Mus musculus: one gene and its partner. The main gene of each other region encodes a partner of the protein of the gene in region 2 in a complex. Links are inferred from orthologs where the notes say so. Each region holds a gene or a part of one and is shown on either strand. Other genes may lie near its edges.

What was found.
Region 1: Vps54 (region 2) and Vps52 share a complex: the UniProt entries of both Homo sapiens proteins name them as parts of the golgi-associated retrograde protein (GARP) complex. The link is inferred for Mus musculus from reciprocal best matches to the Homo sapiens genes VPS54 and VPS52.

The regions. Positions count from the first base shown.
Region 1 is NC_000083.6:33,953,909-33,969,974, forward strand, and holds Vps52 (vacuolar protein sorting-associated protein 52 homolog), read left to right. Parts: upstream 1-1,891; 5' UTR 1,892-2,184; coding exon 2,185-2,274; exon of another isoform or gene 2,275-2,776; intron 2,777-3,021; coding exon 3,022-3,106; intron 3,107-3,940; coding exon 3,941-3,993; intron 3,994-4,108; coding exon 4,109-4,184; intron 4,185-4,381; coding exon 4,382-4,449; intron 4,450-4,692; coding exon 4,693-4,868; intron 4,869-5,316; coding exon 5,317-5,467; intron 5,468-5,754; exon of another isoform or gene 5,755-5,864; intron 5,865-6,041; exon of another isoform or gene 6,042-6,086; coding exon 6,087-6,187; intron 6,188-6,278; coding exon 6,279-6,411; intron 6,412-6,538; coding exon 6,539-6,596; intron 6,597-7,202; coding exon 7,203-7,336; intron 7,337-7,704; coding exon 7,705-7,860; intron 7,861-8,158; coding exon 8,159-8,277; intron 8,278-8,507; exon of another isoform or gene 8,508-8,514; coding exon 8,515-8,638; coding exon of another isoform or gene 8,639-8,653; intron 8,654-8,817; coding exon 8,818-8,913; intron 8,914-9,001; coding exon 9,002-9,109; intron 9,110-9,269; and 9 more. Other genes in the region: Rps18 (40S ribosomal protein S18), read right to left, coding at 1,170-1,268, 1,710-1,712. UniProt on the Homo sapiens protein: Acts as a component of the GARP complex that is involved in retrograde transport from early and late endosomes to the trans-Golgi network (TGN).
Region 2 is NC_000077.6:21,231,162-21,247,743, reverse strand, and holds the start of Vps54 (vacuolar protein sorting-associated protein 54), read right to left. Parts: upstream 8,713-16,582; 5' UTR 8,373-8,712; intron 1-8,372. UniProt on the Homo sapiens protein: Acts as a component of the GARP complex that is involved in retrograde transport from early and late endosomes to the trans-Golgi network (TGN).

The DNA of each region.
Region 1 (16,066 bases), on a different chromosome or scaffold from region 2:
CTGTCTCCAAAAACCAAAAGAGGGAAAAAAAAAATTAAAGAATACAGAAACCTTCCCTGTCCTTCACCCTTTGTTGGTCAGCTTGCAATCACCTCTGGAGGAACTCACCCCGAAATCTCTCTCCTCAAACTCCCAATACCCACCACCCACCTCCCAATCAGCTTCACCCTTTTGTTTTCCAGGCAGGTTTTTTTTTGTTTTTTCTTGTGTAGCCCTGGAACTTATTGATCGGGCTGGCTTCAAGCCCAGAGATTTGTTTGCCTCTGCCTCAGGGAGTGCTGGCATTAAAGATGTGTTCTTCACCCTCTCACACAGGACCAACAGAACCCTCAGTACCCAGGCTCTACAAACACTGTGCACAGCCCCTTCAAGAGCCTCCATTCACCTTGTCTGCATTCGAAGTCAGCTGTAATCATCTCCCAGCAGGTCACACGGGGCACAGGCATTGCCCCAGGCCCTTCAACCCCCTAGACACTGCTCTGCCCACCACACCAGGCACCTCCTGCTGTGCTATCATTGTTTGCCAAAGTGCAGAATTAAAAAAAGTCAACATGGCAAGGACTTAAAAGTGAGACTTCACAAGGTTAAAAAAATTTACTCCAACTTTTATGTCCACCTGACATTACCTCGGCTCCCCAGGCCTCCTTCAAACCTCTCAGCAGCCACCCAGTTCCATCTATACCCTAGCATCCCACAAGGTCCCACCACTGACAGGTCTCATGGCTGAACACACCTGACCAGCAACTCCTCAAATCACCAACTTCAAGTCCTGTCCCTGTCTACAAGACTTTTAGCTCTGCAGAGAAACATCCCAGCTTCCTCCTACGACCTCCCTTTTTGCCATAATGGGGAAAACTGCCAGCTTCTGTGTCACCTTCCACTGTGGCATCTGCCAATAGCTTCTGCAGACCACCCCCAACCATCACCGCTAAGCCTGGACACCTCTTAGGATGTTAGTTTACAGGAATTCTACTCAAGGTTTGCTGACAGCAGAGACTGCTCTCGGAAGCTGAAGATCTCGGGAAACCTCTGCAAGGTGGGACATGACTACACTCACACCCCACTACCCCTGGAGCAATGTTTTGGTTTAACCCTGGGTCATCATCAGGCTTTTATTGAAACGGGTTGGGTGAGTTTAGCTGCTTCTCTTTTGCCCCTAACACTTTTACCTTAATGGCAGTGATGGCGAAGGCTATTTTCCGCCGCCCATCGATGTTGGTGTTGAGTACTCGCAAAATGTGCTGGAACTTCTCAGGGATCACTAGAGACTGAAAGAACACGGGCAGTTATCAAGACAGGTTACCCCCAAACCGGGAAGGTGGCCGAGGCAGGGTTGGATTGTCTGCTAAGTTCTTACACAACTCCTCAGTCACCGGGGCTCACCCCTAACGCGCTCAGGCGCGGGAAATCGCAACCTCTGACAAGAGGGTGGACGTCGGCCGCGGCCCCCAATTCCCTGGACAGGGGAAGCGGGAGGAGCCCACACACAGCCAAGCTCCTGGCAGCTTTGCTGTGTAAGAGGAGCGAGCATTCCTCGGGGCCCCGATCCCCGGGATTTCACGTCTTAGGTCGTCCCCTCTCGGGTCACACTCCATCGCTCCACAGAGGGCTGTGGGCCCGCAGCATGGGGCACTCTCTGAGTCCTGACGGAAATCTCTCCCTGCCCCGGCTCCGATGTCGCAGGATCCCGGCGCGGATTCCGCTCTTACCATGGCGGCGGCACAGACGGCGGCGTGTAGGCCTCCTGTGGAAGAGAGAGCGGAAGTGACGTATAAGTCTTATATAGATTCCTGGCGGAAGAGGCGGGGCTATCCCCGGAGGTCCACTTCCGGAAATTGCTTCTCTCCCCGTCTCCCCCTAAGGGAGGAGTTGTATTGAGACAGTTTTGGAAGGGACCGGAGCTATAACTTCCGGTTCGGCCTTCTCTGTCGTCGTACCGTTCTTGTGTGGGCGCGGAGCGAAGGTTCCGGAACAGAGTTGTGTTCGAGACGTTCACCTTCCTGTTTGCACTTGACCGAAATGATCAAAGCCTAACCGGAGAGGCTGGAGCCGATCGCCTTAGCTCAAATATCTGGGACCCTTTTTTGCTCCATAGAAGACATTCCAGGACTTGTAGCTTTGCTTCGGGAAACGGACTTTCTGAGACTGACAGCTGCCGGAAGTCGGAAGTGAAGCTGCGGGGGAATGGCAGCCGCAGCGACCATGGCGGCCGCTGCCCGGGAGCTGGTGTTGCGGGCTGGGGCCTCAGATGTAGAGGAGGAGGAGGGCCCGCTGGTGAGAGCACGGGGCTGTAGGTCCTCCGGAGTATCGTCAGGTTGTCCCTCTCCTCAGGCGTAGGCTCCATTTAGACAAGAGGTTCGGAGCCGTCTTGCCACGGGTGATGGTGACCTAGCCTTCGTAGGGACCAAAGTGGCTGAAACCCAAGCCCCAGGGACAGTGTCAGCTTCCTGTTCACGATTTTTAGTAGAAAAAAATTTTAGTGTTTAGCGTAAAAGGTTAAGAACGTGGCCTCTGGAACCAATTTGCCCGGGGTCCCACCTCCAGCCCCACCGCTTGAAAGCTATGCTGTGTTTTCGGTGCCAAAACTTCCCACACCTTTACAGTGCAAACGCTGTTAGGACATACCTTATAGGTGGTCGTTAGGATTAGCCGAATGAGCATGTTAAATGGTGTACCAGACACAGGGGTAAACACTATGTAAGCTGGCGATTTTAGCCTCTGGAATTCCCTCAGGGATCACCTGGAATAGCTGGAAACTGAGGTCCTAAATTCAAAGGCAAGTTTGACTAGTCCTAGTTTTTTCTCATTTGAACAACTCCAGCAACTCCATGAATTGCCTGATATTCTCAGTAGCCCAAGATTGTAGATTTGAACGCATCAGAATCTTTGACCCACTTACTCCGGCACCCCCCACCCCCCAAAGCACCCCCCACCTCACTTGGAGGATTAAGGATACCCGATTATGTTTTGTTTCCAACATCTCTTTCTGTATCCCACATTCATTAACCTGTCCCTCTTCAGGGGGGGGGTTCTGGACTCCAAGAACCCCTACAACTTGGAGAGTTGGACATCACCTCTGATGAATTCATCTTGGATGAAGTGGATGGTAAGTGCTGACATGGGGTGGGAGCAAAGTAGACCCCTTTATTCTTTAGAAATATATTACATGACCCCAGTAGATTACCCTCTATGGTTTCTTTCTTTTGTATGTGTGTGTGTTTTTATTTTTAATTTATTTTTATTTTTTTGGTTTTTTTTCGAGACAGGGTTTCTCTGTAGCTTTGGCTGTCCTGGAACTCACTCTGTAGACCAGGCTGGCCTCGGACTCAGAAATCCGCCTGCCTCTGCCTCCCAAGTGCTGGGATTAAAGGCGTGCACCACCACCCCCCGGCTGGCTTTTTTCTTAATGTACAGATAAAGTTTAATCCATGAGTTGAGAAGGCTTAACTTCTAATTTAGGAATAGTAAGAAATGAACAGTACGAGTCGAATAGTCACAGCAATACACTATAATAAAATCGCAGCATCACTTTTTCCCCTTTGGGACTATTGTTGAGTAAGAATACAGCCTGGTTGAACATACATACGCAGACAGCTAAGACTGAGTGACTGGGAGGCAGGCACAGCACACACCATAGATTAACGGAGCAAAGATGTTTCAGATCCAAGCCCAGGCGAGAGGTTCTCTAGCTTCTCAGAATGCCACACATTTTAGATCTTACAAGCCACACTTTGGAAATCCCCTTTTAATATTTTCCATCTGTGGTCGAGTAGACCATGAGGAGCAGAAACAGCAGGAAGTCCCACCGGGCAAAGCAGCTGTGCCTATAACTGGAGAGGGTGGGGGCTGGGAGGGAAGGGGAGATTGGTGTGGTGTGCGTGTGCCCAGTGTGGGCAGAGGGAGGTCTGGCAGGGGACACTAAATATAAGCTTGTTTCCAGTTCACATCCAGGCAAACCTGGAGGATGAGTTAGTGAAGGAAGCTCTCAAAACGGTGAGGCTCTCCACTGGGTTGATCTCCCCACCCTCCCTTCCTTTTGGGGTCCCCTCAGCTTAGTGGCTCCCCTCTAGCCAGTCACGGAGTCTGTACTGGTTGTCCTTCCCCCCAGGGTGTGGATCTTCGACACTATTCAAAGCAGGTGGAGCTGGAGCTGCAGCAGATTGAGCAGAAGTCAATCCGGGACTGTATCCTCCAGCCTCACAGGCACAGGGCCAAGATGGCTGCTATTGGCATGGGCTCTTGGGGGCCTGTGATGCAGGTAGCCCTCAAGGGGATGTCTTCTCTCTCAGGCTTCTGTCACTTTGGGGAGGACCTGGGGGCAGGTACTGCAGATCGGCAGAGCTCTGTGTTCAGTGTGAAGCCCTTGACTTTTGTGGGTCAGATATCCAAGAGAGTGAAAACATAGCGTCTCTGCACAATCAGATCACGGCCTGTGACGCCGTCCTGGAGGTGGGTGGCCCTCACCTGTTGCCCCAAATCTGACTTAATTGCCTCTTCCTCCTCTTCCTCCTCCTCCTCCTCCTCTCCTTCTTCTTCTATCAGTATTTTTTGTCCCCCTTGGACAAGTGATGATCTCCCATCCTCCTGGGTTGCTGGGTACCAGGGATTTGCACAGAGACTTGGTTGACACACCTGTCCTTGTTCCCCGACAACCCGGAGTCATGCCCACAATGTTTCCTGCCCTCCCCACAGCGCATGGAACAGATGCTGGGAGCTTTTCAGAGCGATCTCAGCTCCATCAGCTCTGAGATCCGAACCCTGCAGGAGCAGTCGGGGGCCATGAACATCCGACTTCGTAACCGACAGGCAGTTCGGGGGAAACTTGGGGAACTTGTGGATGGGCTGGTGGTGCCCTCTGCTCTGGTCACGTGAGTCACTGGTTTGAAAGGTAGTAATGTCCAAAGCAGGTGGTTGGGCTGGGTTACCTAAACAATTTACAACATAGGTCTCTAGGCTGGGGTTGTCAGGTACCATCTAGAAACCAGGTGTGCCGGCTCATGCCCGTAATTATATGCTTGGGAGGCTGAGACAGGAGGATTGCTGCAAGTAGACTAGCCTGGGCTATAGAGTGAGATCTTGTAATGGATGGATTAAGAACTTCGAACCCTGCTTTACCCTCCATAGGATAGGACACAGGTTAAGAGTGCTCCAAGGCTACATGAGGAAGTGTGGCTCAGGAGATGAAAACTTTGTACATATTATCTTGAAGGCATGAGACCACAGAGAAAGGCAGAAATGACATGTGAGGTGTGAGGGGGCTCTCTCAGGGCTGTGGGGTACCCCGTCTAACCACACCCATTCTCCCGTGCTCCTCAGAGCAATTCTGGAAGCTCCAGTGACCGAGCCCAGGTTCCTGGAGCAGCTACAGGAGCTGGATGCCAAGGCAGCCGCGGTGAGAGAGCAGGAGGCTATGGGCACCGCTGCCTGTGCTGACGTCAGAGGCGTGCTGGACCGGCTCCGGGTCAAGGTGGGGAGTGGTCTGCTCAGAATCAGCTTTCCAGGAGCTTCACACTGCTTCCCGCTGTGCAGAGCGTGGTTGGCCCTCCAGATCCCCTGAAAATCTAAAGAAGGTTGAGATGTGGCTCAGTTGGCAGAGCGGTTGCTTAGCATGCATGCAGCCCCAGGTTCCATCCCCAGTGCCATATACATTGGCATGATGGCACAAGTCTGTTGTCCTAGCACTTGGGAGGTGAAAGGAGAAACGAGAGTTTGGGGCCAGTACAGATACATGAGACCCTGCCTCAAAACCAAGCAGTGTTCACCTTGGCAGCATAGACACTAAAATTAGAACAATACAGAGAAGATTAGCATGGTCCCTGTGCAAGTAAGAATCATATTTACAAAATGAAACAACCCAGAAAAATAAGGCCGGGTGTGGTGGTGCAGGATTTTAACCCCAGCACTCAGGAGGCAGAGGCAGGCAGACCTCTGTGAGTCCCAGGCCAGCAAGGGCTGCACAGAGAGACCCTGTTTCCATAACCAGAACACAACCGAAGTATTTGTTCCCTTTGCTTTATCTTCACCCCATTCCTGCCGTACAGTGAAAGCCCACCCCGCCTCATGGCCCGTCTGTTCCCCACGCCTAGGCAGTGACGAAGATCCGGGAGTTTATTCTCCAGAAGATCTACTCCTTCAGAAAGCCCATGACCAACTACCAGATCCCCCAGGCGGCCCTGCTGAAGTACAGGTGGGTGCGGGGTGGGCGCGGGGTGGCCTGTGCCCTCTCAACACTGCAGCGTGGGCATCCAGGGAGTCTGACTTGCCCTGGTCCTTCCAAGGTTTTTCTATCAGTTCCTGCTGGGTAATGAGCGTGCTACAGCCAAGGAGATCAGGGATGAGTACGTAGAGACGCTGAGCAAGATCTACCTGTCCTACTACCGATCCTATGTGGGGCGGCTCATGAAAGTGCAGGTGAGCAAGGCTGGAGACATGGAGGAGGATGGGGAGGAGGAGGAGGGGAAGGGGGAGGAGGGGGAGGGATGAAGTCCTCACCTGCTGCTGGTGGAGAGTGATGGTTCAGCTCTGTTATTTTCTCTAGTACGAGGAAGTTGCTGAGAAAGACGACCTAATGGGTGTTGAAGACACAGCAAAGAAAGATATCCTGGAGAGGAGAGCCCCATGAGCTGGGCTCATGGCTGGGACCATGGCGGGGACATCTGGCTCCAGCCTGCAGGCTGTGTTTCGTTTCGTTTCGTTGCTTTGCTTTGCTTTTCTTCCTTTCTTTATTTCTTTTCTTTTCTTTTTTTAAGAAGATTTATTTGCTTTATGTATGTGAGTACACTGTAGCTGTCTTCAGACACAGCAGAAGAGGCCATTAGATCCCATTACAGATGGTTGTGAGCCATCATGTGGTTGCTGGGAATTGAACTCAGGACCTCTGGAAGAGCAGTCAGTGCTCTTAATCCCTGAGCCATCTCTCCAGCCCGGGGCTGTGTTTCTTACCCATTCTGTGGTTCTCAACCTTTGAGGACATGAAATCGAGAGCTTTTTCTCTAAGAAGCACTCGCCGCTCTGACAGATTTTCACATTTATTTCTGAGGGTTTGTAAAACCTTGACAGCCATTAAGGGTGTCAGGCCAAGCAAGGCTCAGGTTCTGGAAAGGGCTATCCGGGCCATATTTAGTTTCCTGGGACTCGGGTCTTGGCTTGTTGGGCCTGGTGCAGTTGGTCTCATTGGTTTCCCTGACTCCAAAGCTGTTCACGCTTCTTCTCGAAGCCGTCCCTCCGAAGCAGGAACACCATCTTTACCCTTGGCACTCGTGGTACTGTCATCTCACCGGCCGAGCTGGAGGCCCCCATCCTAGTGCCCCATACTGCCCAACGTGGAGAGCAGAGGGTATGGTGAGGCAACCCCTCCATGGCCAGGATCAGTTCCCTGAGTGTTAGTTTGGTGTGTGGGGGGGGGCCGGTGTCCCTGGCCTGCTGTGATGCGGGAAGTTAGGAGCCATGGACTCAGAGGCGGGCAGAGGGAGACTGGCTGGGGCGTGACTGTTGGGAGGCAACAGTTGAAGTGAATGTGGGGGTAGAAGTCAGTGGGGAGGGCTTTTCTTGTGACCTGTGCCCCATCTTCAGTGCCTGTTCAGGGTGCTCCTCCCTGCCTGGAGGAGGGTGTGTGATCTTGTGAGCTCTGATTACTAAGCTGTGCTGAGTCTCCACATCCACGGGTTAGTGAGAGACCCATCGTGTCTCTCTCTGTCTCGGTAGTATCCATTCGAAGCGCTCTTCCGCAGCCAGCACTATGCCCTCCTCGACAATTCTTGCCGTGAATATCTTTTCATCTGTGAATTTTTCATCGTGTCTGGCCCGGCTGCACATGACCTGTTCCACGCCGTCATGGGCCGCACGCTCTCCATGACGCTGGTGAGCTCCCAAATTCTGAGCCTGTCCACAGGCAGACAGCAACTCCTGAGGAATGAGTGTTCTCTAAGCCTTGGCCCTGGAGCCCCCATCCCAAGCTCAGCCCCAGCTTCTGCTCAGCCCCAGCTTCTGCTGTGGGGAACTTACATAAGTGTGGCTGTGAGCAGGTCAGGCCGCTTGTGGTACCTGTGGACAGGGAAGAAGCTGGTCTCCCTGGTCTGTGCCTTGTCCCCAAAGAAATGTACATCTGTCTGCCTACAGCCACTCGAACAACAAGCTAACATTCATTTGTCTGCCACAGAAACACCTGGAGTCCTACCTGGCTGACTGCTACGATGCCATTGCTGTTTTTCTCTGTATCCACATTGTTCTCCGGTTCCGCAACATTGCAGCGAAGAGGGACGTCCCTGCCCTGGACAGGTCACTGAGCTCTGGTCCTTGGTGTCTGGATGTGGTCAGCTTCTTATGTTACGAAAACAGTTCCATCCTGACTCTGGGCCCTCACCTGATGCCCTTCACCCTTATTCCCATTCATGTGTCCCAGGGGCAGCATTGGCATCAGGCACACCCACTCACTGTCACCCTGAAGCGTGCTGTACTCCCCTGGGCAGACTGCACCCCCAGCCAGCTGACCTTTGATTCTGATTAAGCCTGCAGGTACTGGGAGCAGGTGCTTGCCTTGCTGTGGCCTCGGTTTGAGCTGATCCTGGAGATGAATGTCCAGAGTGTCCGCAGCACTGACCCCCAGCGCCTTGGGGGACTGGACACTCGGCCCCACTATGTAAGGGCGAGCAAGGTTAATAAGGGGGTCTGTGGTCACACTGAGTGGTGGGTGGGTACTGCCGAAGGAGTCAACTTAGGCAGACAACATCTGTTCTGACTGGTGACAGAACTTGCAGGGGTATCTGAGGGTTGTATCTCCCAGTCAGGCAGGTGTGAGCCTTCCCTTCTTGCTCCCAGATCACACGCCGCTATGCTGAGTTCTCCTCTGCACTTGTCAGCATCAACCAGACGATCCCCAATGAACGCACGCTGCAGCTCCTGGGACAGCTCCAGGTATAGCTAGGCAGGACATATTTGCCAGCAGAGGGACGGGACCTGTGTCCTTGCTTTCTAACCTGCTGCTTTCATTTGGCTTGTGCAGGTGGAGGTGGAGAATTTTGTCCTCCGAGTGGCTGCAGAGTTCTCCTCCAGGAAGGAGCAGCTTGTGTTTCTGATCAACAACTATGACATGATGCTCGGGGTGCTGATGGTAATGCTGCTCCTCCCACGGGGGTCCCTACAGCTTGTGAGCTCTGCCTGAGCTCAGCGCTTTACCCCTGGATGCTGGCAGTGTCCACATCATGGAAAGAAGGGGAAGTGATGGCAACAGTGAAGGTTCCCAAGCTCCTGACTCCTCTTGTCTTCCTTAGGAGCGGGCTGCTGATGACAGCAAAGAGGTGGAAAGTTTCCAGCAGCTGCTCAATGCTCGGACACAGGTAGGGCCTGGGTGCAGCAGGAAGACTGCGATGCTGTTGGACTGACCTCTGTGTGCAGTCATGAGTACAACCCACTGCCTTGTTGCTAGTCTATTTCATTTAACTTTTTCAAGGTACTAATAGTTTAGAAGCAACATAGAACTATACCTATTTATGTATGCATGTGTGTGTACTATAGCTACATGTATGTATGCATGTGTGTGCATGTACTATAGCCCTGTGTGTATGTGTGTGTGTGTGCACTATAGCCCTGTGTGTATGTGTGTGCATGCACTATAGCCCTGTGTGTATGTGTGTGTGCACTATAGCCTTTTGTGTATGTGTGTGCATCCACTATAGCCCTGTGTGTATGTGTGCGCACTATAGCCCTGTATATGTGTGTGTGTGTGTGTGTACTATAGCCCTGTGTATATGTGTGTGTGCACTATAGCCTTGTGTGTATGTGTGTGTGTGCACTATAGCCCTGAGTGTATGTGCACTATAGCCCTGTGTGTATGTGTGTGTGTGCATGCACTATAGCCCTGTGTGTATGTGTGTGTGTGCACTATACCTCTGTGTGTATGTTTGTGTGTGTGTGCATGTATTATAGCCCTGTGTGTATGTGTGTGTGTGCATGCACTATAGCCCTGTGTGTATGTGTGTGTGTGCACTATAGCTCTGTGTGTATGTGTGTGTGGGTGCATGCACTATAGCCCTGTGTGTATGTGTGTGTGTGTGCATGCACTGTAGCCCTGTGTGTATGTGTGTGTGTGCATGCACTATAGCCCTGTGTGTATGTGTGTGTGTGCATGCACTATAGCCCTGTGTGTATGTGTGTGTGTGTGCATGCACTGTAGCCCTGTGTATATGTGTGTGTGTGCATGTACTATAGCCCTATGTGTATGTGTGTGTGTGTGCATGCACTATAGCCTTGTGTGTATGTGTGTATGTGTGCACTATAGCCTTGTGTGTATGTGTGTGTGTGCACTATAGCTCTGTATGTTTGTGTGTTTGTGCATGTACTATAGCCCTGTGTGTATGTTTGTGTGTTTGTGCATGTACTATAGCCCTGTGTGTATGTGTGTGTGTGCATGCACGATAGCCCTGTGTGTATGTGTGTGTGTGCACTATAGCCCTGTGTGTATGTGTGTGTGTGTGCATGCACTGTAGCCCTGTGTGTATGTGTGTGTGTGTTATTCGACGCGTTCTCACGACCGGCCAGGAAGAACACAACAACCAGAATCTTCTACGGCAAAGCTTTATTGCTTACATCTTTATGGGGCCAGAGTGTAAGAAGCAAGAGAGAGAGAAAACGAAACCCCCTTCCCTCTTTAAAGAGAACAACAATTGCCTAGGACGCATCACTCCCTGATTGGCTGCAGCCCATGGCCGAGCTGACGTTCACGGGAAAAACAGAGTACAAGTAGTCGTAAATACCCTTGGCTCATGCGCAGATTATTTGTTTACCAACTTAGAACACAGGATGTCAGCGCCATCTTGTGACGGCGAATGTGGGGGCGGCTTCCCACATGTGTGTGCATGCACTATAGCCCTGTGTGTATGTGTGTGTGTGCACTATAGCTCTGTATGTTTGTGTGTTTGTGCATGTACTATAGCCCTGTGTGTATGTTTGTGTGTTTGTGCATGTACTATAGCCCTGTGTGTATGTGTGTGTGTGCATGCACTATAGCCCTGTGTGTATGTGCATTCTGCTTTGCAGGGAACTGTTTGTGTGTGTGCACATGTAAGCTCACACAGGCACATCTGAAGCTCATGGAGGTCAGAGGTCACAACTTCTAGGTCACAACTTCTTTTCTTGCTTCTTCGACCTTGTGTTCTGGGGACCAGTGGAAAGCACTGTTCCCTGATGAGCCAGCATACTGGATCTTGGTTCTGGAGAAAACCCTTGGGGACATCCCCTGCAACTTGTGACATCACCACCTAAGGTGGAAGGCTCACAGAGACTGCTGTCTGGCGGGTCATTAGACGTCCCTGTGCAGAATGGGGGTCCTTTGCTCCCAGGAGTCTGACCCTGTGTGTGCTTGCACTTCTCTCTAGGAGTTCATTGAGGAGCTGCTGTCTCCCCCCTTCGGGGGTCTGGTGGCATTCGTGAAGGAGGCTGAAGCCTTGATTGAGCGTGGGCAGGCTGAGCGGCTCCGAGGGGAGGAAGGTATCTGATGTCCTGGTGCAGTAGGTAGTGGGAATTAGGGACAGTGAGCGGGGGTGGAGGGGGTGGGGGGGTGGGAGTGGGGAGTCACAGGGGAGGCAACGCAGCAAGGAAGACTTGGCTGGAAGAACACCAAGAAAGCCAGGCTTGATGGTGAGCACAGATGTGCCCAGGGCAGGCCTTGCTGGGTCACCAGCCCTGGTTGCTCTGTGCCTGGTGGACGGTAACCAGACCTGGAGCTCTCTGACACACCTTTTCCTCTGGCGGTCAGCCCGAGTCACTCAGCTGATCCGTGGCTTTGGTAGTTCCTGGAAGGCATCAGTGGAGTCCCTGAGTCAGGATGTAATGCGAAGTTTTACCAACTTCCGAAATGGAACCAGCATCATCCAGGTGACCGGCCACTCCCACCCTTTGCCTGTGTCCTAAGGTTGTCTATTTCCTCGCTCTTTCCCCTGGGCTCCGCATCACACAAACGCCTTGAAGGCCAACAAGCATCTGTGCCTGAGATTCTGGTGAAGCTCTGACAGCTCAGGTCACCATGAGTCTGACCCTGACTCTCCTCTGTGCAGGGGGCGCTGACCCAGCTGATCCAGCTCTACCATCGCTTCCACCGGGTGCTGTCTCAGCCCCAGCTCCGCGCACTCCCGGCCAGGGCCGAGCTCATCAACATCCATCACCTCATGGTGGAGCTGAAGAAACACAAGCCGAACTTCTGATTCAGACCCCCCTCCCCCGCCCCTAAGCTCCTGTGTACTCTGTGTGTCACACATTTTCACCTGGGACCCCTTTCCCATCCCTTTTATCTCTATGGCTTCCACACTCCCCTCTCAGCCTCCATTGCCAGGACTCTGCCTCAACAGAGTGCGTTCAAGGCCACTCCCTGGGTTTCTGAGTGAGGTGACCTTCATTTCCAGTCCGGTCAGCTCCTCTGCTGTTCACTCACAGCCTGTGAGCTTCCACCGCCCCAGGCTCTGACTGACCCTCAGCTCTTAGGGCAGAGCACTGCAGGCCACCCTGTAGCTGATCTGTGGGCTCTGCTGGAACAGTGACATCACCTCGTGGTGGGTCTCACTATGTGGCAATAATAAGTACTAACAGTGCTGGGACCGTGTCCTCTCCTTTGTCCCTGGGCCTCTAAATTCTCCAGCATGTGTTTATTGTAGACCTAGTCTGTTCCTGGTGGGCATCAGGAAGAGGGTGTGATAGTACCCCAAGGTCTGTTGCTGCTTCTGGCCCAGGGGTGGCATAGATGCTCAGGAGGGGACTGTTTGTAGCTCTCCAGGAGGGTGGCACTTGTCGCAAGGCCTGGGAATGTGGTAGCTTTGGGTGCTGTCCTGAGGGATACCATGGGAATAGTCCACACAGCCTCTGAGATTGTGTCAGCCACTAAGTGGCTGTTACAGCTCCTTTGAGGATGGAGGGCCTATAACACCTGCAGCCATGCATCAAGGCAGGGGTGGACCTGGCTCCAAAACAGATCCTGTCATTTTCATGTGACCCAGACCCTTCCCGCTGCCCTCTGCCTCACCTCTGTAAGGAGTTTGCAGACTCCAGAGCAGTGGTTCTCAACCTTCCTAATACTGCAACGCTTTAACACAGTTCCTTGTGCTGACCCCAACCTTAAAGTTATTTTCATTGTTACTTCATAACTGTGATTTTGTACTGTTAAGAATACTAGCCAGGCGTGGTGGCACATGCCTTTAATCCCAGCACTTGGGAGGCAGAGGCAGGTGGATTTCTGAGTTCGAGGCTAGCCTGGTCTACAAAGTGGGTTTCAGGACAGCCAGGGCTACACAGAGAAACCCTGTCTCGAAAAAAAACAAAAAAAGAATATTAATATAGGGGCTGGTGAGATAGCTCAGTGGGTAAGGGCACCCGACTGCTTTTCCAAAGGTCCAGAGTTCAAATCCCAGCAACCACATGGTGGCTCACAACCATCTTTAACAAGATCTGACTCCCTCTTCTGGAGTGTCTGAAGACAGCGACAGTGTACTTACATATGATAAATAAATCTTTTTTTTTTTTTTTAAATAAGAATACTAATATAGCCAGGCATGGTGGTGCATGCCTTTAATCCCAGCACTTGGGAAGCAGAGGCAGGCGGATTTCTGAGTTCGAGGCCAGCCTGCACAGCCAGGGCTATACAGAGAAACCCTGTTTCGAAAAACCAAAAAAAAAAAAAAAGAATACTAATATAAATATCTGTGTTTTCTGATGGACTTAAGCAACCCATGTGAAAGGGTTGTTTGACCCCCAAAGGGGTCATGGCCCACAGGTTCTAGAGTGAAGGTACATGCTTGACCAAGTTGTTTGGTTTTTGAGACAGGGTTTCTCTGTGAAGCCCTGGTTGTCCTGGAACTCACTCTGTAGGCCAGGCTGGTCTCGAACTTAGAGATCCACCTGCCTCTGCCTCCCAAGTGTTGGGACTGAAGGTGTGTTTTTCCATAGACTGGCAACCTTGACCAAGTCTTGAACAAAAGCTAGGCTGGTTTGCAGACTGTAACCCTGTCTAATTAGGGACCAGAAGCACTGGATGGAATGCCCGCTTCAGTTATGAGTAAGTTCAAGGCCAGCCTGGACCACGTCTTAAAAGTAAAGGCTGGGACACAGCTCGGTGGCAGGAAGTCGTCCCTAGGTCCCATCTGCAGTGTGGGGGAAATTGCAGGTGAAAGACGCTGTCAAGGAAAAAAAAGTAATTTGAGGTTATTTCCTTTACCCCATTCACTTCCCAGGGCCTTGGCTGGAGAGCCTAAGTCCACCCCGCCCCCGCCCTGGGCATCCATGCTCCTTTCTCACTTGTTACAACTTTCCCACCTACTCCACCACCCACTTCCAGGTGTCAGACCTGGGGATCCCAGGCTTCTGGTTTTACCTTATAGCCCCTGTGTTCTGGAACTTGCTATGTGGTTGAAGAATGCAGAGATCTGCCCTCCAGAGGGCTGGGACTGAAGGCATTCCCAGAGAAACCCAGGGCCCTTTCTTTGTGTGGTCACATCAAGCTCAGCTGGTGTGTAGTTCAATGAGGACACAGTCAACAGGCAGGAAGCCCTGGGGTAAATCCTGGGCAACAGCAACCACAAAAGGAAAAACAACTAATGCTTTGCTGTGGCGGGCTGTGCAGGGGATACCCGGCTTCTTAGTGTGGCCCTTCTTCAGTGTGACCCGGACAGCTTCGTGGGCTTGTGAAGCTGCCCAGCAGTTCCTGGACTCTGCAGTCTGCAGTCTGGAGGGACATTCAACATAGAGCCCAGTCCATCTCCAAGATTCTTGAGAGCTGCGATGCGGCTCATGGCCACGAGGGGGCAGCAGGACACAGGAATAAGAGTGGCTCCAGTTCTTGATCACCTAAGTGGCTGTGAGCTTTGAATGCTGGGGAAGGCAGGGAGTTGTGGTCGCCTATGCCCTCTTCATACCCAAGCAGCCAGGGATTTTCCTTTCAGCCCCCAATCTTCTGGTTTGTGGTTTTCCCGGGTCCTTATGAACACAGCTTCTGAGTGAGATTACACCTCGGCCCCTCACCTGATTGTTACTCAACACCACACTCCAGTCACAGTGAAATAGACACACAAAGACAAACACACACACAACACACAACACGGCATTATGAGGTGATACAGGAGGGTCAAGAATTAAAGATCAAGACTGGAGAAAAGACTCAGAGGTTGAGAGCATTAACTGCTCTTCCATAGGTCCTGAGTTGAATTCTCAGCAATCACGTGGTGGCTCACAACCATCTATAATAATATCTGGCGCCCTCTTCTGGTGGACAGGGACACATGAAGGCAGAACACTGTACATAATAAATCTTTTAAAAATAAAGAATTCAAGGTCCACCTGAGCTACAACAAGGCATACAACAAACACAAACAGCATAAATGAACGAACACACAGGCTCCATAGACCAGTAGCATCCGGAGTCACTCTATAGGAGGAGTTGTGTCCATTTCTTTCTTCCCTTGCTGAATTTCTAAGATCATTGTGTACATCTAGTGCAGGGGACCCTACAGTCCTGCACTAGGTTTTAGAAGTGTTCCTACATGCTGTAGTGACCCCCCAAATACTGTGCAGTGTCGCTTTACAGAAATCTTATTTCCCTTCATTTCTTTTTCATTCTTTTAAAAAATATATTTATGTATATGGTGTTTTGCCTCCATGTATGTCTATGCCCCACAAGCATGGAGTTCCCCAGTCTGCCAGAAGAGGGCAGCCTATCCCCTCTGAGACTGGAGTTACAAGTGGATGAGAACTGGAACTGAACCCAGGTCCTCTGGAACAGCAGTAAGCATTCTTCACCTCTGAACAATCTCTGCAGCGCCATAATTTTACTCGGAAGTGACGCCATCTTTATTTTTATGTCTTGGCTCTCTGTGATTCTTTTCTCTGCAGCACAGGGCCTCACTCAGGCCTGAGCCTCCTAACTACCCTGCAGAGAAGGTTTGAACAGGAGAAGCCCTGGGGTCCTCAGGGTCAGAGAGTCCCAGAGAAGGAGCTTCCCAGTCTGTCCCCAGAGTGCACAGTCTACAAAAATGTCTGATGTCCTCCAGCACCAATGCAGCATTGCTAACATAACCCACACATGGAACAT
Region 2 (16,582 bases):
ATCACCACCAATGACAAGCAGGAGAGCCTGCCCAAGTCATCAGAGCAGTAGAATTAGCCTGGCCCCTCACCTACTGCAGCACTCAGGAGAAAAGGCCCTGTACTTCACCTAAGCAGCAGAGTAGTGCTGGCCCTGAGGGCATGAGGGCCAGAGAGCCCTCCTCCCACTTGTCTGCTGGGCAGGGGAGAGGAGGTAGACACACCTCCCTCCCCTTCCTCGTCCCACACCATCTACAGGAGGCAGGAGAGCTGACTCCAGGATCATCAGAGTGGGAGAACTGGCCATGTCCCTCCCTCTCACCAGCTACAACACTTGGGAGAGTAGGCCCTGTACCTTACCTGGACAGCTGGATAGCGCTGGCCCTGTTAGCAGAGTGTGCTGAGCAGTTCACGTACCTCTCAGAACCAAAACTAGGGCTATGAATTAGCATACCCCACCCAAGAAAACTAGGCCCTCTAAATCAACATCATCAGAGCTCATATGAATTCCCAGAGATGGACACAGCACACAGGGCCTGCACAGGTCTATACCAGGCCCTCTGCATACATATGGCTTCCTGAGTGTGAGAATGAGCAGGTCTCTGTATCCTGTGCCCTCTCTTGGGCTCTTTTCTTTCTGTTTGTTTTGTTCTATTCCAATGTGTTGGGTTTTATTACTACTATTCTTTATTTTATAATTTATCACATTATTACTACTACTCTCCCTCAGAAGCTTGCTTTCTAATGGAGACAGAAAGAGTGTGGATCTGAGTGGGAGATGGGGAGGAACTGGGAGGAGTAGAGGGAGGGAAACAGTAATCAGGCTATATTATGTGCGGGGGGGGGGGGGGGGGATCTATTTTCAATAAAAGAAAAAAAGGATAACAAGAGGTAATGTTGGCTAGAATAAATTATAAATAATTGTAATACCAGAAATTTAAGTTGTCAGTTAAAAGCATCTGATGTTTTTCCAGAGGACCCGGGTTTAACTCTCAGCACCCACCTGGCGATTCAGAACCGTCTAACTCCAGCTCTAGGGGATCCAACACCTTCACACAGACATATATGCAGACAATCCACCAATCAATGCATAAAAAGGAAAAATAAGTAAACCATTCAAAAAAAATTAAAGTTGTCTTTTTCCTCTTTCATGTGTGTTCTATGTATGTTGGCACATATGTGTAACGGTAGACTTGTATGTGAGAAAACGGAAGTCCAAGGTTGCTGTCAGGAATCATCATCCAAAGCTCTTTCATCTTATTCACTGAGGCAAGGTCTTTCAGTCAAACCCAGAGGTCACTGGTGCGGCACGGCTCCATAGCTAGCTTGTTTGGGGACCCCCATATGTGGCTTCTCAGGTAGACTACCTAGCCTGCCTGGAATTTACTGATTTAAGTGGGATCTGAACTCTGACAGTCATACTTGTGTATTTTAAATGTCTTACAAAATAACTGATAGTTTCAAGAACAAAAATTATTATCATTTATAATTTTAAAATTAAAACTAAATAATATTCAAAATGAAAATGGGAGACTCCTAGCAGTACTACAGTAGTTACTAGAATTAACCCACAATTAAAGGCCCACTTGTCTCTAGTGAATAGATACCTCAGGAAAAACCCAAAGAAATGTATATACTTTATTCCTTCTTTGGGTCACTGATGTAACTGCATTATTAGCAAAACTTTTGCCAACCAAAGTGAAATTAGGACACTGATAGTGACTTTTAGTGTCCTGATACTAATTATTATACTAATTATTCAGAACAAAACAAATCCTAAAGCCTCTCACATTTAAGTTTTTGAAGAATAAATATCCTGTTCCTAAGGACCTTTCAATTGATGGTTTTGTTATCAAGTAATGATCTTGTCTTTAAATCATTACCTTAGAGAATTACAAATAATGCTTTTCTAACTTTCTTTTTTTTTTTTTTTTTTTTTTTGGTTTTTCAAGACAGGGTTTCTCTGTAGCCCTGACTGTCCTGGAACTCACTCTGTAGACCAGGCTGGCCTTGAACTCAGAAATCCGCCTGCCTCTGCCTCCCAAGTGCTGGGATTAAAGGCGTGCGCCACCACGCTCAGCTTTCATACCTTCTAAAGTCACTTTTGAGGACAGTAAGGTCAAGTCAAATGAAGACTGAATATATTATATAGGCTGCTAGATTTAATGAGTAGGCCTTTCTTTTATCCTAAGCCGAGTAAGTGTTGAAATGGAAGACAGGTTGCTGAAGAGGTGGGCCTTGGGGGTTTGGCAATGAGGAGGAATCAAGAATTGGTAGCTCTGGGCTGGTGAGATGGCTCAGTGGGTAAGAGTACCCGACTGCTCTTCCAAAGGTCCAGAGTTCAAATCCCAGCTCATAACCATCTGTAACGAGATCTGACGACCTCTTCTGGTGTGTCTGAAGACAGCTACAGTGTACTTACATATAATAAATAAGTAAATCTTTAAAAGAAAAAAAAAAAGAATTTGTAGGTCAAGGAGATAGGTTTGATGAACAGAACATTAATTTGGTACTTGAACTTTTTTTTGGGAGTGGGAGGATTGGCTTTGCCAAGAGATGGGAAATACTAGAATTGGTGAACAGTCAGACAGTGGGTTAATCTTAAAAAGAACAGACAACTATATTTTAGGTCCAAAAGGTAGGAGTTGTGTATAATTGGCAATTAGGTACATTAATTTTTATATGTATATTATATATACCTGGACTTTCAGCTACTTTGTGGGCTCTTTTTCTTCCACCCTTTTCCATCCCCCTTCTTCTATCCTTTCAAACCTCTAACTCTAAACAGGAGAGGAAAAAAGGATAGAGAGGAAAGGGGGCAACATTATCATTAAACAACTTCCTGTTCATTAGAGGCAAGTTTGAGTTTCACTGTCAGACATCTAATTTCTTCTTGTTTCATCTTTATGCAGGACTACTTAAACAGAAACCAACAGCAACCAACCAACAACCCAGTCTGCCTCTTGGGGCCCTAGCATTATATATTCTCTGATAAGTCAACAGAATTCCAAATGTCACACGACTGTAGACACTGTCTGCCACTGGAAAAATTACGCCCCTGCTAGGGCATGAGGCAAATCATAGCCAGCTGCTGAGGACAATCTGAAGCAGGTCCATATCCCATACCTGGGATTAAAATAAAGACATATTCTTGTAATATTTCTGTGTTTTCTAAAGAAACCAAAATGTCAAAATTGTCACTACAGAGTAGAAGCCCTGTGTCCAGCCTAAGGACTCCTTTTTTAAGCTACTTTTGACCATTCAACTCATGGTGATAGAGTGGGGCAGATTAAGTGAGAACACAGTAGACAACTGAGAATGTTTAAGCGTTAACTCTATGGCAAATGATGCTACCACGTAAATACTGACATTCTTAGATACCATAACTATAATCCTGCAGAATAGTCTTATAATTGGGAGACGCATGTTTGAAAATGGGGGAAATATCCACACCAGTTTGTCAAAAAAAAAAAAAAAAATTGGGGGTAGTGTGGTGCTCACTCTACTATTCTTTCAACTGACCTATGGCTTAAAAATCTTAAATAATAAAACATCAATGCCAGGAGGCTGAAAAGATGGCTCATTGGTCAAGAGCCCTGGCTATTCTTGCAAGAGGACCCATGTTCAATTCTCAGCAACCACTCACAACCATCTATAGCTCTAGTCCCAGGGAATCCAACACCTTCTTCTAGTCTCTAAGGGTATCAGACACATGCACAGTACAAATAGACAAAGCATCCATACATATTAATAACTATGTAGACAGCTTACCAAGAACTAAAGAATGAGTCAGACCAGTTGGGGAAAACAGTAATGGAGATCTAGAAAAGGTGAGGTATGTGAAAAGATTTGGAAGAAAAAGAATCTATTGTCAGGTACCACAAAGAATTCAACATGCCTTAGACAATTACATATTTAGGAATGGGGGAGAATTGTGGAGTCTCTAAGGCTAAAAAGATGTTAGGAAAGGAACTCACTTATCTTAAAGAAATGAGAAATAATATTTCATCTTAATTATAAAGCTAGAAATAATTTAAGCACACAAATTAAATGATCAGATTTACCCTTTTGAAAAATCAATGACTACAATACAGGGGAAAAAAGACCAGGAAAAAAAGCCTGATAGAAATCTTACAATAAGCCAACCTCAGGTGCTACTGAAGTCGGTCTCTGGAGCAAGGAACTTCAATTATTGATGTATTAAGTGGTTCTTTTGAGGGAGGGAGAAAGACGGCAGGGACAGAGACAATTAGTGTTTTTTTTCTCCCTAAGAGCTGTCAGTCATTATTCATTTTACCTTGCTACCTCTACATTGCTTTTGATAAGTTCTACATATTCCTTTCTAATTTGTTCTTCTGAAACAACTCTTACAGAGAATGTTAAAGTCAACAAAGCATCTTCAGGCTAATGCTCTCCCCACTGAACTATTTGGCTCACCAGACACAGTATCTTACAACCCATAAACTCACTTACATTGGCAATAAGTTCATAATACAGTAATCACCAAACACACTCACTATTTGTTAGATGAGAAAATTGAACCCCAGGAACATTTCATAATTTCTCTAAAGTCACATGGACAGTAAGTAACAAAGGTGATCCTACCACTTTTCATCACCAAAAACATCACCTAAAAGCCAAACCCAGTGGCACAGGTCTACAACCCTAGCACTTGGGAAGGAGAGATGGATCACAGCAGCACCAAAGTATTTAAAAATTAATTTAAAAACATCAGAGTCAAAAGTGAGACCAATAGAAGCAGAAATGCGAGTTGTATATAAATATGAAAATCCTGGACTTTTACTACATACATACTTGCATACATAAGCCATTCAAACATTTAGCTTCTTTCTCGATAAGTTAACAGGAGGTAGGGGTAGGGGATGTATGAAGGTAAAAAATGCTAAAAAAGATAGTACTATATGTTTATTTCTAATTTTAAAAACCTATGCAGTAATAATCAGCAATTCAAAATACAGTAAAATGTACATTAATATAAGGCTGACATTTTAAGGGGAAGGGATATTTTTCTTTTATGAATATATTTTATTTTATGTATATGAGTGTTTTAACAGCATATAAATCTGTGTACCACATTTGTCTGGTGTCCAAGAAGGTGAGAAGCGGGGATCAATCCCCTGGAACTGGAATTACAGACAGTTGTGTGTGTTGGGAACTGAATTCAGATCCTCTGCAACAGCAGCCAGGGAGGCTCTTAAATCACTAAGCCATCTCTCTAGCTTCTAAAAGGGTGTTTTTGTTCAGATTTGTAAACTAAACAGACCAACACATATCTACATTATACCAATTTCTTTACTTTCGCTTTGCCCTCAACTGCTTCCCCCAATAAAGAGAACTGTTAGATGAATTAAGTATTTCTCTATTCCACCAAATAATATTCAGTGGGACTCTAAGAATAGATCAAGTCCTTACCAGAATCATACAGATCATGAGTCTAAACAGTACTACTGGCACTTTGATACAGACAGTCTTTTCTTTTGGGGGGATGGAGAGGTCTATGTATTATATAGCAGTTATTAACATCCTTCATTAGATGTTATCTTAACAATCAAAATCATCTCCAGACACTTCCAAAAGTTCTCTGAAGAACAAAACCATGCTTGGATAGTTATTGTTTTAGATTTTAGAACTCTGAAAGTTCAGAAAAGAAAGCCTCCAAATATATTTGTTAATCATAATTTTTAACTTGTTTTTTATTGGATCTTTAAAATGTGAACAATGTAAGCTGTGATTCAACATTTCACTGACCCTCAGCTCGCCAAACTAGCTCTGAAGCACCCAAGCCACTCAAGCTTTTTCCTCTTCTTTCTCCAAATGTATACTGACACAACAAAACAATCTATATCTTCTTTACAATGTTGTTTTTGTTCTTTTTCATTCTCAAAATCACCTGCTTACTCCCTAACCCAAACTGCAAAAAAAAAAAAGTAAACTGATTTTAAAATAACATTTCAAAATAACATATTTGTCATGCTTTGCTTTCAAGCTTTTTTAAACCATGTATTCTGTCTGCACAGAACCTCTGTCAGCACTTGTCCCTAATGCTGGAGGAATGTCCAGTTCTTACCCAGTTATAACAGCATGAGGTCAAATAGATACACACAAGAATCTAAACAATTCCAGTACCCAGCTCATCCCTACACCCAATGTTCACTTTACATAAGCACATCGCAGGTCTTGTGCCAAGTGTCCTGGAGATTCAAGTTTCTACCCTTCAGACTTCTTCCTCTGGTTTCTGCTTTGTTGAGACAAGCAGGAAGTATGCCAACAATGACCTGTAAGGTCCTTTCCAATTCTATATTCCAGTATTATCAAAAATTCTTCTCCAACTTTTCATTGGCTGACCCTTACCTCACCAATACTCTTAAGACCAAAGTGACTCATGCTTCTTGTCTTCCTCCACATACAGTCTATCAGTTGTTTACAATATTTTTTTTCTGAGATTGGGATCTTACTCCCTGGCCCAATTTTTATATATATATGTATATATATATGTGTGTGTGTGTGTGTGTGTGTGTGTGTATGTATATATATGTATATATGTATGTATGTATATTGACTTTAAAATAATTTTTCAAAAAGCTATAATTTCACATCATTTATGTGAAAGACTCACATTAAGTAAATAAATTTAAAAAGTAGATTAACGCTTCATGGAGAACAGTAGGGGTGAGGCAAAAAATTAGGAGAAGAGAAGGGTTGAGAAGAGGGTGTTCACAATAATATATGGGGATGATCACATAGGAAATACAACCAACTGCACTGGTCATCGCTGGTGGAGAGTCCCTTTCTTACAGTCACAAGGCATTGGATTAAAACTTCAGCAGAGCTTACTTAACAAGGTAAAACCAAAATACCACTGGGTTAAAATGGGTGAACTTTACAGTATGTTAACTCCACAAAGCTGTTTTTAAAAAGAGTAGGGGAAAAAAGTTAATAGTTAATTAAGAATAGGTTCTGCAAATTGTCCTTTCATGGTTTATATAAGATCTAATTGTAATAAAAATTCTTATTCAGAAATATAATTTAGCTTTTCCAGAACACAAATACATGCAAATTTAATCCTCTGTTCCTAGTAAACTCTAGATAACTTTGCCAGTTATAATTTTGAAAACAATGAAAAACATTTTAGAAAGCCAAATGCTGTAGCAGCAATACCACAAGAACAAATTATATGAGTGTCAACAACAACACACGGATAGTGTGTACAGTTTTACTGTGAACAGACTGGTACTTATAGTAACAGTTCTAAGGTTGCCAGAACACAGTTTAAAACTAGCCAAAAGACAATACAAAAGTTAGCATCTAACATCCTAAACTACAACTATCAAGTACAAAGTGACCAATTTTACCTAATGATAATTAGTGTAGAGCACCAATACCCACTTCTAGGAAACCCAACTCACTGTACTACATACAGTCAGACATATCCTATCATTACATCTGTTCCAGCCAAACTGCTAGGGAGTCAAATAGTTTTCCAATTAGAGCTCCCATTTATAAAACTCAATGCCCATCAAGACCTGCAGCATAAGTTATCACCTTCTTCTCCATATACCACAAACAGCGTATCATAATATCCCCTGCCCGCTGAACATGTATTAAGACTGACCTGAGTTTGAGAACCCGAAATTAAATCAATTAGAAAACAGAAGTAGCCCAATTTAATTCTTCGAAAGTAAAAGACGTCTCTATAAGGACCAAAAACCAAACTTGGTTAAAAAGGTATTTTAAGAAACACTTTGTAACTCTAATAGGCCAAAATTCTTTAAAAAAAAAAAAAAAAAAGTCACCCTAAGCCATACACGGACAGGCCAAGTAGCTAATTATAATGGTCAGGCAAAAGTTCCCAGACAACCCACAGGGAACAGGGAAGGCCTGTCTTTGTATCCCTGCAGACAGCAGTTAGCAAAACTGAAAGAAATAAAATAATTTAAACTACAATGCAAAACTGCACAATGCCGAGTTCTTCTTTGGTTTAGTATTCTCGGGCGGGGGGGTGGGGGGGCGGTGTTTTTATTCTAGAAGGCTCCAAGAGGGGTTCAGGCCTGGCTGAAAGGAGACAGGGAAAGTTTGGGCTCCGCGTCTACAAGGACTGATGGAAGTTGCTGGTCCCGGATTCCGGAGAGGGGCGAGGGGACTGGGGCGGCACCTGCGGACGCCGGCCGGGGCTGGGGCACAGCTGCCGGCCCGGATCCTGGGAGTGCCGAGAAGGAAGTGGTGGTGGCGGGGAGGATGAAGCTTCGGCTCGGTCACCGGCTCCGAAACTCTGTCAGCTCCAAGCCCCGAGGAGACGGAGGGGGTGGGGTCCCGCCGCCCCGCCGGTCACCGGGTCGGGGGAGGGTGGCCGCGAAGCGCGGGCCCGGCACCTACCTGCGGTCCCGGGCGGCAGCCCCAGACGAGGCCTAGTGCACCGCCGCCTCCATCCCTCCACGTCGCGCCGAGACTGCTGCTCCGCGGCCGCCGCCGCCCTGCGCGCCGGGTCCGAGCCCGGTTCCCGCCTCCGCCCCGCGCCTGCTGGCCGGCGGGCCCGGGAGCACAGGGCCGCCCTCTCGAGCCCAGCGCCGCTCGGGGGCAGAGCGGCCGCGGCGGGCCCCTCACGTCTCGCCCGGGTGTCCTGTCAGCCAGCAGTCTCCCCCGGGTCCGCAGCGCCGCCTCCGCCGCTGCTGCCGCCGCCTCTCCCACATCCCCGGCCTCCAGGGGAGCCGCCGCCGCGCCGCGACCACCGCCCCCGGCGCCTCAGCTCCCCACGCCGCCGCCCGCCTCACGCCACCGGCCCGGCGCGGCTGGGTCCGCGGAGAGCGTGCAGCAGGCCGCCGCCGCCGCCAGGCCGCCGCAGCCCCCAGCCCACAATCCACCGCGGCGTCGCCGGGGCGGGAGGGCCGCGGCCAGACCGGGAGTCGCCGCGCAGCTCCGACAGGGCCTGGCGCGGCCGCCGCAGAGCTAGCGACCCCAGAGCGGGGACGACCCCGCGTGGCTGCCCCGTGCCTCCCCCTGTCGTCCTCGTAAAGGCAGGAGTCGTCTCGGATCTGCGCTCCAGCTCGCACGGTTCCCCCCCCCCGCCCAGGTTGTCCAAAGAAGCCGAGCGTTGCCTTCCGCCTTCCCTGGCGAGCGGGCGGGAGCGGACCCCTCGCCCCCCAGACCAACTGACTCCCGGCCGCTTACACCCACTAAAGCCCTAGCTTCCGCCTGCCCTGACTCCCTCAGCCCCTCATAGTAAACAAACATGGCTCCGTCTCCAAAATTAATGCCTTTCAAAGGTGAAAGGTCAACTCCAGATACCCCACTGGCCTCCAGCACTTAAGGCCTTTTGAGGCTACCCTGTCCCCCCAGTTCCTGGCTTCCAATCACCTGTCACATTTCTCAGGCGCATAAGTCAGTTGTCCCTGCCCTTTAAAAATCTGAAAAACTTGGGTGTGTGTGCTTATTATTAAAATCTATTTGTGATTCCTAACAGCATTTCCAATTAGGCTGAGTTCAGAGAGAATTGTGATCTTACTAGTAAAATTACCATCTGCAAGATAGGGTGTCTTAGACTACAATATGTTTATAAGTCTCCAATCACCTTTGGTTGATTCAGGAGTCTTGAGACTCAGAGCCACCAAGGTCTGGAAAAATAAGAAAAAAAGTCTTAATTACTTGAGGGTCTTTCTTAACTTTATGAAGATTTTATTCCATTTTGGAACTGTTTAGCCTACAAATAAGTTTCATGCATTTCAAAAGTCTGTTTTACAAAGCAAAAGTGAAAATGTAACTCAGTAGTTAACTGGAAAAAGAAACTGATGCAAGTCTTGGTCTTAGTAAGTCATTGAAAATTGCTAACAGCTTTTGTTAATTTACTCACCAAAAAGGTATGGTTGGTCAGGCAGTGGTGGCGCATGCCTTTAATCCTAGCACTTGGGAGGCAGAGGCAGGCAGATTTCTGAGTTTTGAGGCCAGCCTGGCCAGCCTGGTCTACAGAGTTCCAGGGCAGCCAGGGCTACACAGAGAAGCCCTGTCTAAAAAAAAAAAAAAAAAAAAAAAACAAGAAAAAAAAAAAAAGGTATGGTTGAAGGACAGAAAGGACACAGAGAAAGGAAAACACAAAAGATTAGCCAAAAGAAAAGTCCTGCGCTATATTTTTCTGAATTCAACTCTTTACAATGGAGCCAGGCACAATGGAGCAGTCCTGTAATCCCAGCATTTTGGAGTAGAGACTTGAGGATCAGGAGTTCAAAGCCACCCTCAGAGTCCACATGGGACACTCAAGGCCTGCCTGGGTAATGTGAGACTATCTCAAAAAGAAAAGAGGAAAAAAAAAAAAAAAACTCTACAATAAAGAGGGTAAGAATACATCCAACAAATAATAAATACATGTTCTAGTTTGCTTCTCCATTGCTGTGGTAAAACACCAAGACCAAAAACAACTTGAAGAGAAAAGGGTTTATTTCTTCTCTCAACTCCGAGGTCATAGTGTCACTGAGGGAAGTCAGAGCAAAGAGTCAACCGGAAACAGAGACCTGAGAACACTATTGCTGCCTGGCTTCTATCCCAGAGCTTGCTCTGCTTGCTTTTTTATCCCACTCAGGACCATTTGCACCACCATAGTTAGCCCAGCTCTCGCACATCAGTCATTAAGGGAGGAAATGTCTCACAGACTTGCCTTTAGGCCACAAGGTGAAGGCAATCCCTCAGTCAGGCGTCCTTCTTCCCAGATGACTCTTGCTTATGTCAAGTTAGAAAAAACTAACAAGTTTTCTAATTATAAAAAAGATTTTTAATCCTTTTGGAGGGGGTTGTTGAGGCAGTGTATAGCCTGTCTGTCCTGAATCTTACTCTGTAGCCCAGGCTAGCTTCAAACCTGGAGATTCACCTGCCTCTGCCTCCCAAGTGCAACCACCACCTGGCTTTAAAGTCCTCTTAAATCTTTGATTTCTTGTAAAAACAAGAAAAGTTTACACAGAAACATCATTGAGGTAATCTTAATGTGCACTGTGTAAAACTTGTCTTTGTATCATTCAAATGGTGATTTCTGTAGAGACAGAGAGTTGAATACTGGCTGAATTTTGTTATGGTTATTTTTACGGATCATAAAATGCCTCAGTATTTTGTAAATATACACTTCCTTTACCTTCTGATTGGCTTAATAAAAAGCTGACAACCAATAGCTGAGGCAGGAGAGGAAAGGCAGAAGTTCCAGGCAAAAAGAGTGTCTCTGAGGAACAACTGAGAAGGGAGGATTTGCCAGCAGGAAGACGATGCCAGGACTGAATGAGGGGTAATGGGCCACATGGCAAACATGGACTAGAATAGTCGAGTTAATTTAAGTTAGAGGAGCTAGCTGGGAAGTAACCAGCCAGCTAAGGCCTAAGCTATAATAAATAATAAGTCTTTGTATCATTATTCGGGAGCTGGCTGGTCTGAGACATTTCTGGCAATAGTCCATTACCAGGGTTTGGGGGTGAAGAAATCTGAACAAGAAAGTGGTCAATGAACCACCTTTACATTTAAATAAATGAAATTTTGTGGTTTGTCACACAACATAGTAGCCATAGTTAACAGCATATATTTCAAGTTTTCTAAAATAGAAAATTTTAAATATTCTCAAACTTTAAAAAAATTACTTGAAGTAATAGATATGTTAGAGTGACTTAATCACACCCTTTTCCAAAACAAATTCCAAATTGTTCTAGTTTGCACTTGGGTTGATTGATGCCTGCCTTGGGTGTTTCCATAACACTAGAACAGGACAAACGGGTTTACCCCCTACCGTTGATAGCTTGCCACAAGAAGAAAATGAGCCTTAAGTACTGTGCTTGGTTCTTTTCCAGATCCAACAACAGGTTTACTTTTTACTTTGTCACAGAACAATTCATAAGCTGAAATCTACACAGAAAAGCAAATATTGATGTCAGCTTTTCAAAACAAATTGGGCAAGTAATTTTATTAAGAGGAAAGTTTAAAATAATAAGTTAAATAATAGATTTGGTTGCTATCATTTGAATCATTTTAGCATTAAAAAGAACTACAAATGAAATGTGTGTAGATACACTACTGTGGCTCCTTTTCCAATATCAAGGCCACAGAAAATTAAGAAAAGCTGGTAAAAAAGGTTGCCCTGCTTAGCTACAAGACTAAAAGTCTACTTGGCACTTTGTTATGGTGTTAATGATTAAATGTAGCAGAAATCTTGTTTGTGAAGGTATCAACTCCTGGCTGGTCTAGAACTTGCTGTGTAAAACAGACTGGCCTGGCCCTCACAGATACCTCTTGCCCCTGCTTCCCAAGTGCTGAAACAAAAGCCCCAGCTCCCAACTACATATGCCTTTAAATAAATAAATAAATAAATAAATAAATAAATAAATAAATAAATAAATGTAACTTTAATTTTTTTTCTTAAAGGCCCACCATGCACCAGAGGTAGTGGAATAGAAAGTATGAGCGATGGGAGGGTGACAGTGGGTGTGTTTAGAAAGGTGTTTTGGAGCAACTCCCATCTGTTGTCTGGAAATCAGCAATTCAGTTCACAGGTCAGAGGGCAGCTGCAGCTCGATTCACCCACATACACTTCACAGACACACCAGCAGTCCAGTTCGGTAGAGTCGGGATGGTAAACACACATCAGCAACAATGGCATTACCCAGCAGAGACAGCCAGCAGTGACTCTGATACTCTCTTCTGAGTTCTTCGGGTATCCATCCATACATTCATACACACAGTGAATCATTCCTGTAATCCCAGCACTAGGAGTTTAAGACAGGAAAATCTCTGAGACTTCAAACTAGCCTGAGCTGCACAGTGAGACCCTGTCTTACAAACAAATCATTAAAGGCGAAGATGGGCAACAGATGTACAACTCCTGGGTATTTACCAAAAAGACTCGTAAATTAACATACCACAGAGATATTTGTACATCCACACTGAGTAACTCACAATGGGGTAGAAGTGGAACAACCCTAGATGATCATTAGCAAGTAAACAGATAAAGGAAATATGATACATACATAGAATGGAAACTTAGTCATCTATAAGGAAAAATGATATAACAGTTGCAGGGAGATCATGTTTAGCAAAATAAGCTATCAGAAAAACAAATACTATGTGTTTTCTCTCATTTGTGAAACCTAAATTTAAAATTATACATGCATAAAATTATATATGCTTGAGTGTGAATATGTGTGTGTGAGAGATAGAGAAGAGGAAGAAGTCTTAATGGGGCAGGGGAGTAATGGAATATATGTGTATGAAAGTAGAATGAGAACTATGGCTGGGCGGTGGTGATGCACACCTTTAATCCCAGCGCTTGGGAGGCAGAGGCAAGCAGATTTCTGAGTCCGAGGCCAGCCTGGTCTACAGAGTGAGTTCCAGGACAGCCAGGGCTACACAGAGAAACCCTGTCTCGAAAAAAAAAAAAAACAACAACAACAACAACAAAAAAAAGGATTTATCATCTACCTGTTGCCACATGAATATATATGTTCCACAAAGACAAAGAGTTTTGTTTGTCCTGCCTATCACTTTGCCTGGAACAAAGCATGGTACAGAGTCAGAGTTCAATAAATAATAATATATGTCTACAAAGACAAAACATTCATTAGGAAAACATTTTTTTTTTTTTTTTTTGGTTTTTCGAGACAGGGTTTCTCTGTGCAGCCCTGGCTGTCCTGGCACTCACTCTGTAGACCAGGCTGGCCTCGAACTCAGAAATCCTCCTGCCTCTGCCTCCCAAGTGCTGGGATCAAAGGCATGCATCACCACCGCCCAGCAGAAAACATTTTTTCATTTACAACTTCTGCTACAGCTGGGTGTAGTAGAGCATACCTTTAATCCAAGTACTACGTTGAGGCCAGAATGGTCTAGAGTGAGTTCTAAGGCAGGCAGAGCTACAAAGTGAGACCAGGTCTTTAAAAAAAATCAAAAAGTGCGTAAGCAAAATAAAGTAAAATAAAACTTCTGTTAGACCAGTGGGAAAGATGGCTCAATGGTTATGAACACTTGCTGAAACTCCAGAGGACCTTGGTTCTATTACCAGCAGAGGCCAGAGCTGCCTTCCATAATACATAGGTATGGGGTTGAACCCAGCCATCTCTTAGAAGGAGCTCACACAGCAAAATGATTACAAATTCTCACACAACTCATGTTTTGTTTTGTTTTTGTTTGTTTGTTTAATATTTATTTATTTATTATATGTAAGTACACTACTGTAGCTGTCTTCGGACACTCCAGAAGAGGGCATCAGATTTCGTTACGGATGGTTGTGAGCCACCATGTGGTTGCTGGGATTTGAACTCAGGGCCTTTGGAAGAGCAGTCGGCACTCTTAACCACTGAGCCATCTCACCAGCCCCGACTCATAATGTTTTAAGGAAAATAAAATCAAGCAGTACAGAAATACTTATAAGCAAAACAGATAAAACATTACCAAGAATCATAACACTAGGAGGACTTCACAACAAAACCCAAAGTACCCTCCGAAAAGTTCCCAGAATTGCACATGTCACACAATCAGAGCTGGCAGAACCACACCTCTGCTAGAGCACAGGCAAATCATAGTCAGCTGCTGTGAACAATCCAAAGCAGCCCCATAGACTCACATATGGGATTAAAACAAAAGCACATTTTTATAATATTTCTGTACTTTTTAAAGAAACCAAAATTTCAGAATTCTCACTATATGTCTCCCCTTCTGTTTTAAGTCATTAGTTATGCTATGTGTAGCTGGAAAGTATAAACAGAGATATTTTCAGTGAAATAAGTGTTTTTCAGGTTGTAGCTAATGTCTTCAGTAGACCTTGCCTGTTCAGTTCTAATCTTTATCAGTTTGAAGGTATCTTATCTACAGCTTTTCATTTCCTATGGACATATAAACAAATCAGCATCCCTAACACAAAACTTTCACTGGCTTCCACTATTATATCAACACATCCTTATAGTATATAGGCTGATTTAATTCAAATGGTTTATAATTTTTGCTGCTGGGCTCTAAGGCAGCACCCAAGGCTGTTTCCCAATGGTAAGAGATTACCTTAAATATCTCTTTTGGACCTACCCTCATTGATCCAATAGCAATATCACCTACACACCCCTGGAAGTCTTCTTTATGGTTTATATTTAGAAAAACCACTGCCCTTAGAGATGTCTTGGTCACAATTTTGTTCCAAATGACCATATTTCCCACAATTAAAGCACGAGTTACTTTGAGGTCTGAGACCTTTAGCAGCTTGGTCACAGTCTCTTTGCAAATGACCACATTTCCCATAATTGGAGCACCAGGCATTTTGATATCAGAGACCTCTAGCTGTAAAGCATGACCTATTATAATAGCATGGTACAAGTTAGAACCAATATCAGTTGATTCCCTTATCCACTCATCCATAGGTGCTGCTCAAGCCATTTATGGTTTAATAACTTTTTACATTTAGTATTTGTATTTTCAGATGCCAAGGTCTTGATCAACATCTGTCTTCCATTAGGATCATCAGACTTTGTCCACAGCTGCGACTAATCTTTGTTTTAAAAAAAAAAAAAATCAGTGAAGCCTTCAACAGAGCCCCGGAGTATAATCTTTGTAACTGAGGTAGACTTTTTCCTGAGCTCCTCAACTTTGTCCCAAGCTCTTAAAGTCACTAAGTGACATTGTTCTACAGTAGCATCATCAAATTGAATCTGTTCTTGTATATCAGAGTTCACCCAGCAACTGATCTTTTACTATACCCATTCCCTTGCTCTATTTTGCTGTTCAATATTCAAAGTTTTTTCCTTAACCATCGCAACTGCAGACTGTAGTACAGCTGTTACCAATCCCTTCCAGTCTTGGAAAATAATTCTATTTTGAGCAACCTAGTTATTCAGAATTTGTTTCATGTAAGGCAAGTGCATCCTATATGAAATCAAGACCTCCTTAAAATGCCTTAGATCTATCATTTCTGTAGGATGCCATCCTATCTTGTCATAACCTTGTTCTACCACATTAGCAACCATATGTTGTATGACTCCTGGGAAAGCTGATGGTGGTCCTGTAAACCTGGGCCATCCCTCCTTTCACTCTGGCAGTGTAGTCAGGCTGTTTCATCAGATTGTCCTCCTATCTTTTCAGCTTTTCTCTGACCTGGCCATCCTTCAGCACTGTTTCCCCCTCTTTCCTCCTGTGAGAAACTCCTGCTCTTTTTCTCAGTCATCAGGACTGAACCTTTGTGTTCTCTCTTTTCAGGTGCTCCTTGCTTCTCAGGAGCTTCTCCTCCGCCCACAGCCTCTCCAGTTGCACAGACAACTCTACAATCCTTTCAGAAAAGCAAGAGCAGAAGGACACCCTTTGTTTTCCCATTTCAGCCATGTTTTGTTTCTCGGGCCCCTTTATTTCCGCCTGCAATTTTTCCAACTGTTCAGCCATTCTTCAGACAATTTTTGAAACTAAATATAAGAAGAAGAAGGAGGAGGAGGAGGAGGAAAAGGAGGAGAAGGTGAAGGTGAAGGAGAAGGAGAAGGAGAAGGAGAAGGAGGAGGAGGAGGAGGAGGAGGAGGAGGAGGAGGAGGAGAAGGAGAAGGAGAAGGAGAAGGAGAAGGAGAAGGAGAAGGAGAAGGAGAAGGAGAAGGAGAAGGAGAAGG